Neurospora crassa OR74A: one gene and its partner. The protein of the gene in region 1 binds, or shares a complex with, the protein of each later gene. Links are inferred from orthologs where the notes say so. Each region holds a gene or a part of one and is shown on either strand. Other genes may lie near its edges.

Region 1 (6,008 bases):
AGGGCGCTCGAAGTTCATACCCAAGTGGTACTTGACATCACCGGAACCCTCCTCATCGGCACCGGCCATGCCGGCGAATTCGGAAAAGATGGCCTCGTTGGGCTTGCGGACGACGTTGGAGAGGACGTTGAGACGGCCACGATGGGGCATACCAATGACGATGTCCTTGACGCCGTAGTCAACGGAGCGGTCGATGAGGGCCTTCATACCAGGAACAAGGGTCTCGCAACCCTCGAGACCGAAACGCTTGTCGTTGGGGTACTTGGTGGCGAGGAAGGACTCGAAGCTGGAGGACCAGATGAGGCGGTCGAGAATGCGGCGCTTCTCATCGATCGAGTACTTGAAAGGCTGGGGGATCTCGAGACGCTCACGGAGCCAGTCGCACTTCTCCCTGTCGGGGATGTGGATGAACTCGACACCATAGGAGCCGCAGTAGATCTTCTCGCAGGCGTCGATGATCTCGCGGAGCGTCATCTTCTCGCGGCCATCGCGGGCGAAACGGGGGAGGATGCCGGGGCCGAGGCTGTACTCGGTGTCGAGATCCTTCTCGGTGAAGCCGTAGTATTCGGGGGTGAGCTCCTTGGGCCTGATGTTGCCGAAGCCCTTGGAGGCAGGAGTGTTGCGGATGCCCAGAGGGTCAATGTTGGCCTTGTGGTGACCACGGGCCTGGTAGGCGCGGACGAGGAGCTGGACCTTCAAGTGGTTGGTGACGTTGGCACCCTCGCCAATGCCGACGCCGGCGCCGGCAGCGAGACCGGGCACCACGTTGGCGGCACCGGGAACCAGGCTGGGAGGAGGCTGGAAGGCCTGGGAGATGGGCATGTTGCCGCTCTCCATGTTCTTGAAGTAGACCTGCCACGAGACGTGGACGCTCTTGGGGTCCTGCTTCCACTGGAGGTACATCTCGTCGATATAGTTGGCGGCGCTGCCCGAGAGGAAGTTGTCGTTGGGGTCGGGCGGGCTGTGGAGGGCGCTCTCATGGCGCCTCTGCTGGGAGACGGCCAGGGGACGGCGGCCAACGGCGGGCTTGAGGGAGGCCCTGGTGGTCTGGGCGACCTGGGAATAGCATCGTTTTGAGGCGCCTGCGGTCTGCAGGGCCCGGATGGAACCGCGCAACATGATGGGTGGCTGTTGTGAGGTGAGGGTATTAGGACGCAGAAACCGAAAGCGCAATCCAAGCAGCGGGGTTTTGTTTTGTGTGTACAATCTGGAAGAGGGGAGATTTGGGGGGGGGGGATGCGCAAAAGGCAAAAGGAGCGGCGGAGTAAGTCTAGGTCTCGGTCGTCGTCGTCGACTCTTGAGGGGGGGAATGGGGAGAGAGGGGGAGAGAAGACGAGAGGATCGAGATTTGGAGGGGAGGGGGACGACAGACGTTGGTGTTTTTGATGTTTCGTTGGTGTCGGGGGAAGGGGCGGCGGGAATGCAGCGACGGAAAAAAAGGGCCTCACTCTGCCCGCCGTGCAGGTGCGTCGAGTTGCTCCGTCCACTCACTGGAGTCGGGCGGTCGGTCGACCTGTCGGTGCAAACTGCAAGAGCGAGCGAGTGCTGCCGTCCAGCTGTGCTGCTGTGCATGCCTGCTGACTCCCGTTCTGCCCGCCCTGTGGAATTGACAGAACTAACGAACTGAATTGAGTGGACTGAAGTAGCTCGTACAGTGAGCATCAAGGCATCTGCACGGCTCTGTGGAGGGGACGATGACGGCACTTGCTGAAGCACAAGTGAGGCTCCCTCCCCCTCGGCTCCCGCCGTTGCGCCGCTACAAGCGCACTCAGTGCAGTGCGCCCTGGATGCTTCTCTTGGCCATAGCTTTAACATTGTGGAGCCGGCGAAACTGGGTGGAGCTACCCAGCTTCTCGCACTGGGAACAAATACATCGAAGACGCCCGGGACCCAACAAACTTGAAGGGGACATCAATGTGAGATTCTCTCGGTACCTCCATAGCCGCAAACTCGCCTACCTTCAGTTATTTACTGCTCAGTCTGCTACATACCCATACGTAGTAGCGTACACAATGGAATACACGAAGAGATATCATATCCATCATCTACTCGAATCCGTCCTCCCTCTTGTTGTTTGTCCAAAAGTCACGACGGAGTTCACGGTTCGAGCGGTGACCACGGTAACAGCAAGCATAACCGGAAGTCGTGGAGTTTCTGTGGTTTCAAGGAGGGGGACGGGAGCTGTGTCTCCATGACAAGTCATCGGGCACGCAGCAAACTGGGAAAGTGTGGAAGAGCTGGAAGTTACGGTCTGGAGAGTGCTACTGTAATTATTTCATTACGCATTGGCTCCCGCACCTCCCGTCGAGACTGGAGTTGGAGGCTCCGAGACCTGACCCGAGTCCCTTTTCCCCGGAAATCACGGTTCCCGTCTTTTTGGACCAAGTATCCAATCTTACCGTGGAAAGTGGGGAAAACTTCCATGTCCGAGGTGGAAATGTACGGTAACGCTTTCGGTCCCATCTTTGAGCGCGAACTTTTCGAAGCTTTCGCTTGGGGCATCGAACTGATGGAACTGCGCTAGACATGGTCTGGTCGGTATCCTGGGTTATGGGTTTGGGTTCAATTAGCTACTTGGCACTGACCGCCTTGTGACTTGCCGTAGTATCATGTGACTTTTGCAAAAGTCATTTATCAAATCCATTTTGTCAAAGAAGAGACAAGCGAACCGAGTCTAGATCTCGTCTCGATCTCGTCTCGAGTGGTTTATCGAAATGACTTTGAGGTTTGGCTGTTGGTTTCGATTGTGTAATTCACTACAAAATCCTGCATCGTCAGCTGCCACCTTCAACTTCTTCTTCATTATTGAGCCAGTTGCAGCATTGACTGCACGTCACAGTGTTAAATCCCCCAACTCTCATTGGCTGGCCGTGACTGGTTCGCTGCAGTGCAGTTGCTGTTGTCCAAGCTCTGCGCTGGCTTCAGATCCTTGGCATTTCCCACCCACGGCACCTGCAGCAGTTCGTCGCCCAGAGCTCAGGTCCTGTGGTGGCCAGAGATCCGACCTGGGTGGACAGCTGCCGTGACACTGTCTGTCGGTTCAAAGTGGAACCTTCCCGAGCTGAAACCTGAAGTTCAAGTTCTTTACACTAGTTGAACAGCCCCAGGGCGACCATGGAATTGTTAGTAGTCGTGCTCCACTGCAGCCTCAGCTGCCGCCTGCCTGCCTGCCACGCATAAACTACCTACTACACTATGTAAACTCACCACCCACTCACCATCCCGCAACGACATCCGCAGCAGCCAATGCCTCACCCCGGATTCAAGACTGACGGGACCTGGATTAGATTTGCTTGGCGTTACTACACTACATCACCACGTCCATCATCGTCTAATGCCGTGTACCTTGACGACTCTCCCGTCTCTCTTCGATATCAGTAAGGCGTAGTACACGAGCACGCTGTGACATACGTATCGCGTTAATACATCCTTGTCAAGGAACACATTGCGAGGCTGGTCCGTCTTTATAACATCAAAAGATTGGGAACTGGGCATTGAGCGTGGACTTGAGATATTCAACGGGCGGTTAGGGAGAGGACTACCTAGCCAACATGGCCCCGATTGAGATTCCCCGGGGACAGGCCTCTTACAAAAAAAGAGAGGGCATCATCACATTAACCCCAGACAAGACAGCCCTGATATGGAGCCCCTTGCCGGGCACTGGCCCACCCGTCATCTCACTTTCCGTATCCAACATCACAAACCTCCAACAGACCCCCAAGACGAATCCCAAGGTCGTCTTGAGAGTCGTCGAGAAACCCAAGGCGCCCGGAGCCGATCCGGCTGCCTATCCCTTCCAGTTCACACATGCCACCGAGGCCAGGAATGAGGCCGATGCCATCAAGGATCTTCTCTCTCAGATCATTGCTGAGCTTCGTGGCGATGACCCTTCTCTACCCAAGCCGGCAAAGTCTGGCCCCAACGGCGCCGGCGCCTCTGCCGCCATGGCCATGGCCAGTGCCGTGAACTCGAAGCATTTGCCGTTTCGCTGGTTCGAAGACGACATGCTAAAGGCCGATGTAGAACTTCAGCAGTCCCTCATGAAGAAGGATAAGGCCTTGGCCCATATATATAACGACGCAAAGCTGTCCAAGCCAGATTCATTATCAGATGCCTCCTTCAACAGCCAGTTCTGGGCCACCCGCATCAGCCTGCTACGTGCCTATGCCATCGAGCTGAACCAGAAGAAGGGCTCATATAACGTCCTATCAACCATCAAGCCCCGGACCGAGAACGGCGAGCTCAAGTTGAACATCAACCATGAGCAGGTCCAGCTCATCTTCCAACAACACCCACTGGTCAAGCGCATCTACAACGAGAACGTCCCCAAGCTCACAGAGTCCGAGTTCTGGTCCCGCTTCTTTCTCAGCCGTCTCTCCAAGAAGCTCCGCGGCGAGCGCATCACCGACAATGACAACACCGACCCCTTATTCGACAAGTATCTCGAAGCCGACAACACCATGGCAGTCCCAGCCAAGATCACCGCCACGAGTGTGCCCCCCATCATCAACATCGAAGGCAACGAAGAAAACCAAGGTGGCTTCAGGGGTGGCAACCTCAAAGACGTCGAGATGCGTCCGCGCGCCAACATCCCCATCATCAAAACGCTCAATTCGCTCTCCGAGAAAATCATGGCCAACGTCGCCCCCACAGACGTCGACCCCTCCGCCGCCTCCTACTCCAAAGACGGCATCGCCGACGCCCTATCCAAACAACTCGCCCTGCAAGACCTCCGTGGCGACGCCGAGGCCCAGCTGATCCGGCTTTCCGTCAAGGACACCTCCACCTTCTTCACAGGCAACCAGCCCTCGCTCACCGACCAAGAAGCCGCCGACGCGCGCCTCTACGCCACCCAAGTCCCCTCGGACGTGCTCTTCGAAGTGCAAGCGGACATGGACACTCTCGACTCGGACGGGCGCGGCGGCATCGATCTCCACCGGTCCATCGGGGTCGATCCCGACTCTGACGACGAGGGTAATAACTCTCTGGACTCTAAAAGCGGACCCAAGCCCCAACACGTCGGCTCCCGCGCTGCGCTACGGTTCGCCCAGAACCAGATCCTCGAGAGCATGAAGTCCGCTCGGTCGCACCTCACCACCACCACCACCCACGGTGGCTCGCACACCACCACCACCAATGCGTCCGAAGAACGACCCATGTCGTTGCCGACGGACATTGCCCACCGCGCTACGCTAACCTGCGCTACGACCGCCGAGTTCCTGAAACAGTTCTGGACGGTGTTTAATAACTCCAGCAACAGCAGCCCAGAAAAGCAGCAAGAATTGGCCTACCTGGCCGACTCGCTCGTGCGCTCGAAACAGAGAATCGAGGCGCTGGCTGACGAAGCGGAGAAGAGGAGACAGGAGATTATGGAGAAGCGGAAAAGGGAGATTAGAGAGTATTATCAAAAGACAGGCCGCAAGGCGAAGTGGGTTCCCGTTGGAGGGGGCAGGGATGCGGTGTGGGCGGCTTTTGAGGGCGTGGTGGGCGGGTTGGAGAGGGCTGTGGCGGTTTGGGAGATGGTTAAAAGTGGGAGGATCTGAAGATATGAGGAAAGACAGTGGCAGAGGTGCGTTGTTAGGGGATGGATGTTGTGCTGTGCTGTGTGGAAACGGGAGGAAGATGGGGAGGATGACTTTCATGAGAGGAGAAGTGATAGAGGAGGATGACATTTGGGAGCGTTGCCATGAACGAGAAAAAGTTTCAAGTATATATAGAGGACAGAAATGGCCCACAAGACAGTAAGGCTGGGATAATTTGGGTTAGGAGAAGGAGAAACAGACTGACTATAGTCACATTAGGAATTATGGCTGAAGACCAATGATGAAAAAAAGCATTAAGAAATTTTCAAGAAAGCAAACTGGTTCTGGACTGATGTGTGATATCTAAAACCAGACTCTTAACACTTTCCAAAACGAAGGTTCCGGTATTCTCAGATTACATCATGTAGATAAAGTTGGAAAGAAAAGGGGGATCTCTTGAACCATGACATATGACTTGAATCATTA
Region 2 (5,656 bases), about 1.4 Mb from region 1:
CCTCCTTCACTCCCCTTCCTCCGAGATCCAGCTCTTCGACTGGTGTTCGCAACTCGCCATCTCCCGTCAAACCGCACTCACTTCCCTGTCCACCTCCGCCGCGCAGGTCGCGGATCTCGAGGCCCGTGTGGCTGACCTGAAGAAGCAGTTGGAGGAACTCACGCAGTCCAAGGTTGAGCAGGAGACCGAGCTGTTGCAGAAGTTCAGGGCGCTACTGAATGAGAAGAAGGCCAAGATTCGTCAGCAGCAGCAAGCTTTGAGCAGTAGAGCAAGGCCAAGGTCAGGTTCGCGAGAGAGGTTGTTGGGGGTAATTGAGAGTGCGAGGAGTAAGTCCGGAGTTAACGTACCGGAAAGTCAATTGGATGAGGATGAAAATGAGGAGAATGAGGAAGAAGAGAGTGGTGCCAAGATCGGCAGGATAGGAGGAGGAGGAGGAGGAAGAGGACGCGGAACAGGATCAGCGAAAGCAAGGACAAACACAAGAACCGCCCGTGTCTCCAGACCAGGAAAACGAAAGGCTGCAAAGGACGTACCATCATCAGACGATGATGGAGACGACGACAACGACCACGCAAAATTCGAAAAGATGGATGTCGACGAGCCGGAACCTGAGCCAGAATCAGAGCCGGAACCATCATCAAAGACGACCACCATGGGACAATCATCTTCTAGCAAAACCCTCGATCACGAGGACGTCACTGATAACGACGAGGACGAAGATGAGGTCCTCAATAAGACATCTGACCGCAACACCCCAGACCGCGACGACGATGACGAAACAGCCAGTGAGCCCGATGAGGAGGATGATGGGACTGTAGAAGCAGGGGACAAGGATCTTGATGTGCCGCCGCCTCCTTCACCGCCGCCTGCTAGACGACAACGCACGGCTGCGGCATCCTCGACAGCGACGACAACCCCTCAGAAAAAGACGACGGCTTCTGTTGTAGGAAAGGGAAAGGGAAAGGAGACGCTAACGCCCATTTCCCATACTAAGAGGGCCGGGGCGACGGCTACGAGAGCGTCTCAGCCTGCTGCTGTAGTAGATGAGGGGAGTGAGACTGAGTCTGATGATGAGTTATGAATGGACGGTGGACGTTGAACGCGAGTCGGGGGAGCATGATGTAACGATGGATAATGACTAGACATGTCCCCAATAACAGGTATCGATGGCTGAATCCTATAGTGGGAATCCATGTCCAGTAAAGTGATATTCGCAATAAAAGCTGTTTTATGGGTATTAGCACTGCATGTCAGACTCTATGTGTATATGTAGTTTTCCAAGCCTTTTGTCCGCTTTCGGTAGACATCCCACGAGCAATCTTGTGGGCTTTACCACTCCCTAGTCTCTAATCAGCCTCTTGACTGCCTGGTTCCCCGGCCCAGGACAAAAGAATCATCCACCATCAGTTACCTCTTCACTCTATTCCATACCTCGCTGAAGACTTATTTCAGCATCGTCCCTTTCCCATTCGCCTGCCCCCCTCCAGGAGGAGCAGCAGCCTTTGAAGGCAGCACAGGTAACTTCCTCCCGTAATTCCCCAACGCTAACTTGGTGCCGCATGTCAAACACTCCCCACCCTCGGGCACCTCGCAAAAAATGCTCAAGCAGATACTGCACACAAACCCCGTATCAATCACGTTCCGATGACAGAAACACGCCGCCCGGAAATCCACCGAGTCCGCACTAGGGGTGACCAACAGATCCGCCACGCTAGCATTACTCCCCAGAAACTTCTGGCCTCCATGCTTGGCCCCTCCCTTGGCCGCGGCGCCAAGGGCCTTCTCGCTCGCCTTGTCCTCTTTCCCCTTATGTCCCCCATGCTGCTGCTGAGACCGCTGGTTCCCTGCCGCCGCCAACCCCTGTGGCGCGCTCCCGCTTCCAAACCCAAACATCAAGTACTGCAATAGTCCCCTCGGCTCCTGCGCCCGTATAAACGTGCCGCGCGTAATATAGCTCGCCTGCTGCAAGAACGTTGCACTACCCCGCAGCGCCAGCGTGTCGATGGCAATGCGCGCGTGCGCCGCCGCGAACACAGCATTCATGGTAGGGATGTACTGCGAGGGGGAGCTGTCGCTTACGCTGACCACCAGGATGCGGGCGTGCAGGCCTGCCAGGCCGCCACCGCCGATGCCAGGGAGGGAGGCTGCGTTGCCGCCGCCTGGGCCGGCGCCGGAGGTTGTGGAGACGGAGGACTTGCCGCCTGCGGAGGAGGGGGTTGGGCCGGTGGCGGAGTTGGAGGGGGCGAAGAGGAGGGCGGTTTTGTTGATGTGCGCGAGGGCGAGGGTCAAGGCGCCGGAAATCTGGGTGGTGGTTGTAGAGGTGATGTCCTCGGTTGTGGTGTCGGTTATGAGAGATCGCAGGGAGGAGAGGAGGGAGCGCTCGATTTGGGCGAAGAGGGGGTATTTGTTTGCGGGCGGTGGAGATTGTTGTTTACTTGTGAAGGAGGCGTCGCGCATTTCGATGTCTTCGTTTGGATTTTGCGGGTGTCGGCCGGGGTTCTGGTCGGGTGCTGTTGGGTAGAGCCATACTGCCCGGTTCGTGTGTGATGCTATGAGAGCTACTTGGTTGGAGTTATTGAAGGCTAAGTGGGAGTTGACAAATATTAGAATGTTGGCGAGCGCTTTCGTGAGTGGGAGGACATCGTTCAGGGCGGCCCAGGCGCGTGGGTTGGTGTCGATGATTATGGTATAAAGGGAGGGGATATCATCGGTGTTGTAGATTTCGTAGTGTTCGGAGGCGTCGACGGCGTCCTGGACCGTCATCTTGACGATGATCTGGCAGGGACAGCCTCAACTCGCTTCAAGGTTGTGTGTGTTGTAGAGCTATATCGTGGATCGAAGCCAGTTGGTGTACATGACGTAGGCCTTTTGTCGCCGCGATACTCAGTGCGCCGGTGCTCGTAGGGAGCTTGTCTGGATGCTGGATCGAGAGATGGCAGGATAGCTAAGCGGGCGCTCTGTTGTGTGATATTCGTTATAGTTGTTGTCTGGATTGGTTATGTCTGCTGAATAGGATTGACGCGCCCAAGAAGACCTTCTCGTCGAGAACACTGCAGATGCGATAACGTAACGGAGAAATGCGATAACGATTTCGGGGTTGCAAGCGAAACGCGATCCAAGTGAAGGCCAAAGGATCCTGGTCCAAGTGCACACGCTACCACGTGATACCCGATAAGGCAGATTGCCGGCATTTTCCTTAGTGGTCAAAAGATATGCAGTTAGAGCACTAACATGCAGTTAAACATACAGATGTAGTCCAGTTCTCGCTTTCCTATTGGTCAAGATATCCTAGCTCCTCTATGTACAATGATATCACCTTCATCCGAACATGTCCTTCATCTCTCATCTTATTCTTCTCTTCCTGCTGTGTCCGATTCTAGTTCAACGACCCCAGCATTACCACCAAAACAGCCGGGTGATGAACACGCAAGCGTGCATAACTTTTGACACCAACAGCGAGGTCATCTTTTTCCTTTGATCCATCCACACCATCACATGTTCCCTTTTCGGTTTATTCACATATCGTACGAGGATCTCCTTTAGAAGGATGGCGCAAGACTGTCAACCGAGAGTGGCTTAAAGTCACCGGCTGTGCAATTCAAGGTGTCCTTGGTCTGTAGTCGGGCTCTTATTGGCTTAGGGGTTACCCCGGTGACGACAGCTTTACGTTGGAAGCCTATGGCCAAGACTATCATCGATAGGTATTGTGAGGTTTTGAGGAAGAGAAGTACAAGTATCTAAGGAAGGGGCAGCCAGGTAGGTAAGGAATAGACAAAACTGAAGCTCAATTTAAGACATTGTTCTTTCCATGCTCTCGCAATATGTAACTGCCTTGATTACTCCCGATTATCTACCTCTAGCACTGTAACCACCACCGAATATTCCCCTATGGTAAGTTGTTCAAGTTCCCGATCTTATAACACCCTTCACTCATACATAGTAGACACAGGAATCTTTCAAGGCCGGCGACATTATAACCCCGGTAGCTCTTCCAGATCAAAGAACAGAAAAGCGAACTTGTCTTCCGAGACAATAATTTACCTTCCAGAACGACGGCAACTTAGTTCTTCATGAATATGCCGAGCCCAGGTGGAACTCATGCGGTCGTCTCTCTATGGACAAAGTGGACGCTGGCTTGTTTCGACCAGTAACGGCAATATGACAAACAGTCTTCCCGGTGGTCATCTCGAGCAAGATGCCGACGCACCGGAGGAAACTATAAATCAATAGTCCAACATGACGGTGCCGCGGTGCCGAAGCTCGATGGAGTCACCCCTGGACCGGCGTTAATGGAGGCTCGGCACAAACATACGAACCCTGTGATGTGAAGTCTCTGAACCCTACTGCTTTTCCTAGAAACAATAGTTCGACAACCGCGCATCCACCTATATCCGCGCGGTCGATCTCAGTTACCGCGCCGACCACGTCCGTGGTGGATCCCCGAGGAATCCTGTCTTTCCCCGGTCAGCGAGTTGCACTCATCTACATCACGGACGACAGCCAGGGGTCGGCGCACCGGGGGGGATATCACGTGGCGGGCCAAGGGTGCGTCAAGTTCGAATTCGGTGTGGATCACGGCCGTTGGAAATCTGTGCGTGGGCGTGAAGGGGAAGCAGAAGATTAGTACTACCTACTTACGTGGCAGAGTGAGATGGCGGGGCTCCGAGGCAGGGAGCGGATGCGAGGTTGGCTCAGGAAGCTGGGGATATGTGCCCATATGCCGGGGGGAAGTGTGCGTGACAATGTGATAACGGCGGCCCGGTGGGTGGTGGAGGGATTATCATGACTAGGGGGGAAATTAGATGATGTCGTTTATGTGGGGTAGACGATGGGATGGACAATGCGAAGGTGCAACTGCCACTGCAGTTCAACGTTCAATCTTGCACTTTTTTCCAAAAGATTTGCAAGAGCAGTCGAGTCGACCACGAGCAGTGTTCCTCCACTCGAATCTTGACACCGCACCATACCTGCCCTAGCGAGAGTTCGTCAGAACCCTTGGGGAAGCCCACGGACCACTTCAAGCTGTGCTTTTCCTCCAGAATCACCAAGACGACTGCCCGAGACCAAACCACCATTTCGATGTTACACCAACGAGGACGCCAGCTCCAATGATCTTTTGCTACAACGTTTTCGAGTCCTCGTTATTGCTCAGGGGTAGTAAACAAAGCTCGTAAACTGACCCTAACCCTGGTGCTTACCACGACGGGATGCAGTACAATACACTACAGCGTCCGGAGCCAGGATTGGACAGAATACTTATCATTCGATTTCTCCGTTGGCAAAGTCGGACCCCGAGGCATTTCTTACTAATGATTCGGATTCTCCAACCTTCCCGTATTCCTTCCTTGCTAGTCTACACCAGCACTCTCACTAACGCGGTGTCGCCGTTCCTTCTCAGCCCTCAATGAGTGCAGTCGAGGTCACGGTGAGATAATGCTTACGCAAAAAAAGCCCGAAATAAGGAAAGAGGGCATCCAGCCAGATGAAACGCGGGAAATTGGAAGGACAGATTCAAGGTAACGGATCGCTCACTGTATTCCTTCCTTCTTAAAATGCTGCTGTGTACCTCTACCATGGAAATGACCCTTTTGATCCCGCCCGTTCTTTTTCTCTATTTCCCTTTTGCCTTTCCTCCGTCTTGCACTCAGTCTCTTTC

Evidence for each region. Proteins that work in one complex are often made in the same cells at the same time.
Region 2: NCU05423 (region 1) and NCU01580 share a complex: the UniProt entries of both Schizosaccharomyces pombe proteins name them as parts of the 7-subunit TFIIH core complex. The link is inferred for Neurospora crassa OR74A from reciprocal best matches to the Schizosaccharomyces pombe genes tfb1 and tfb4.

Annotation. Positions count from the first base shown.
Region 1 is NC_026502.1:1,591,170-1,597,177, reverse strand, and holds NCU05423 (hypothetical protein), read left to right. Parts: upstream 1-3,151; 5' UTR 3,152-3,551; coding exon 3,552-5,543; 3' UTR 5,544-5,857; downstream 5,858-6,008. Other genes in the region: tca-7 (2-oxoglutarate dehydrogenase E1 component), read right to left, coding at 1-1,572. UniProt on the Schizosaccharomyces pombe protein: Component of the general transcription and DNA repair factor IIH (TFIIH) core complex, which is involved in general and transcription-coupled nucleotide excision repair (NER) of damaged DNA and, when complexed to TFIIK, in RNA transcription by RNA polymerase II.
Region 2 is NC_026502.1:3,029,412-3,035,067, forward strand, and holds NCU01580 (transcription factor TFIIH subunit Tfb4), read right to left. Parts: upstream 3,083-5,656; 5' UTR 2,764-3,082; coding exon 1,444-2,763; 3' UTR 1,082-1,443; downstream 1-1,081. Other genes in the region: NCU01581 (hypothetical protein), read left to right, coding at 1-1,081. UniProt on the Schizosaccharomyces pombe protein: Component of the general transcription and DNA repair factor IIH (TFIIH) core complex, which is involved in general and transcription-coupled nucleotide excision repair (NER) of damaged DNA and, when complexed to TFIIK, in RNA transcription by RNA polymerase II.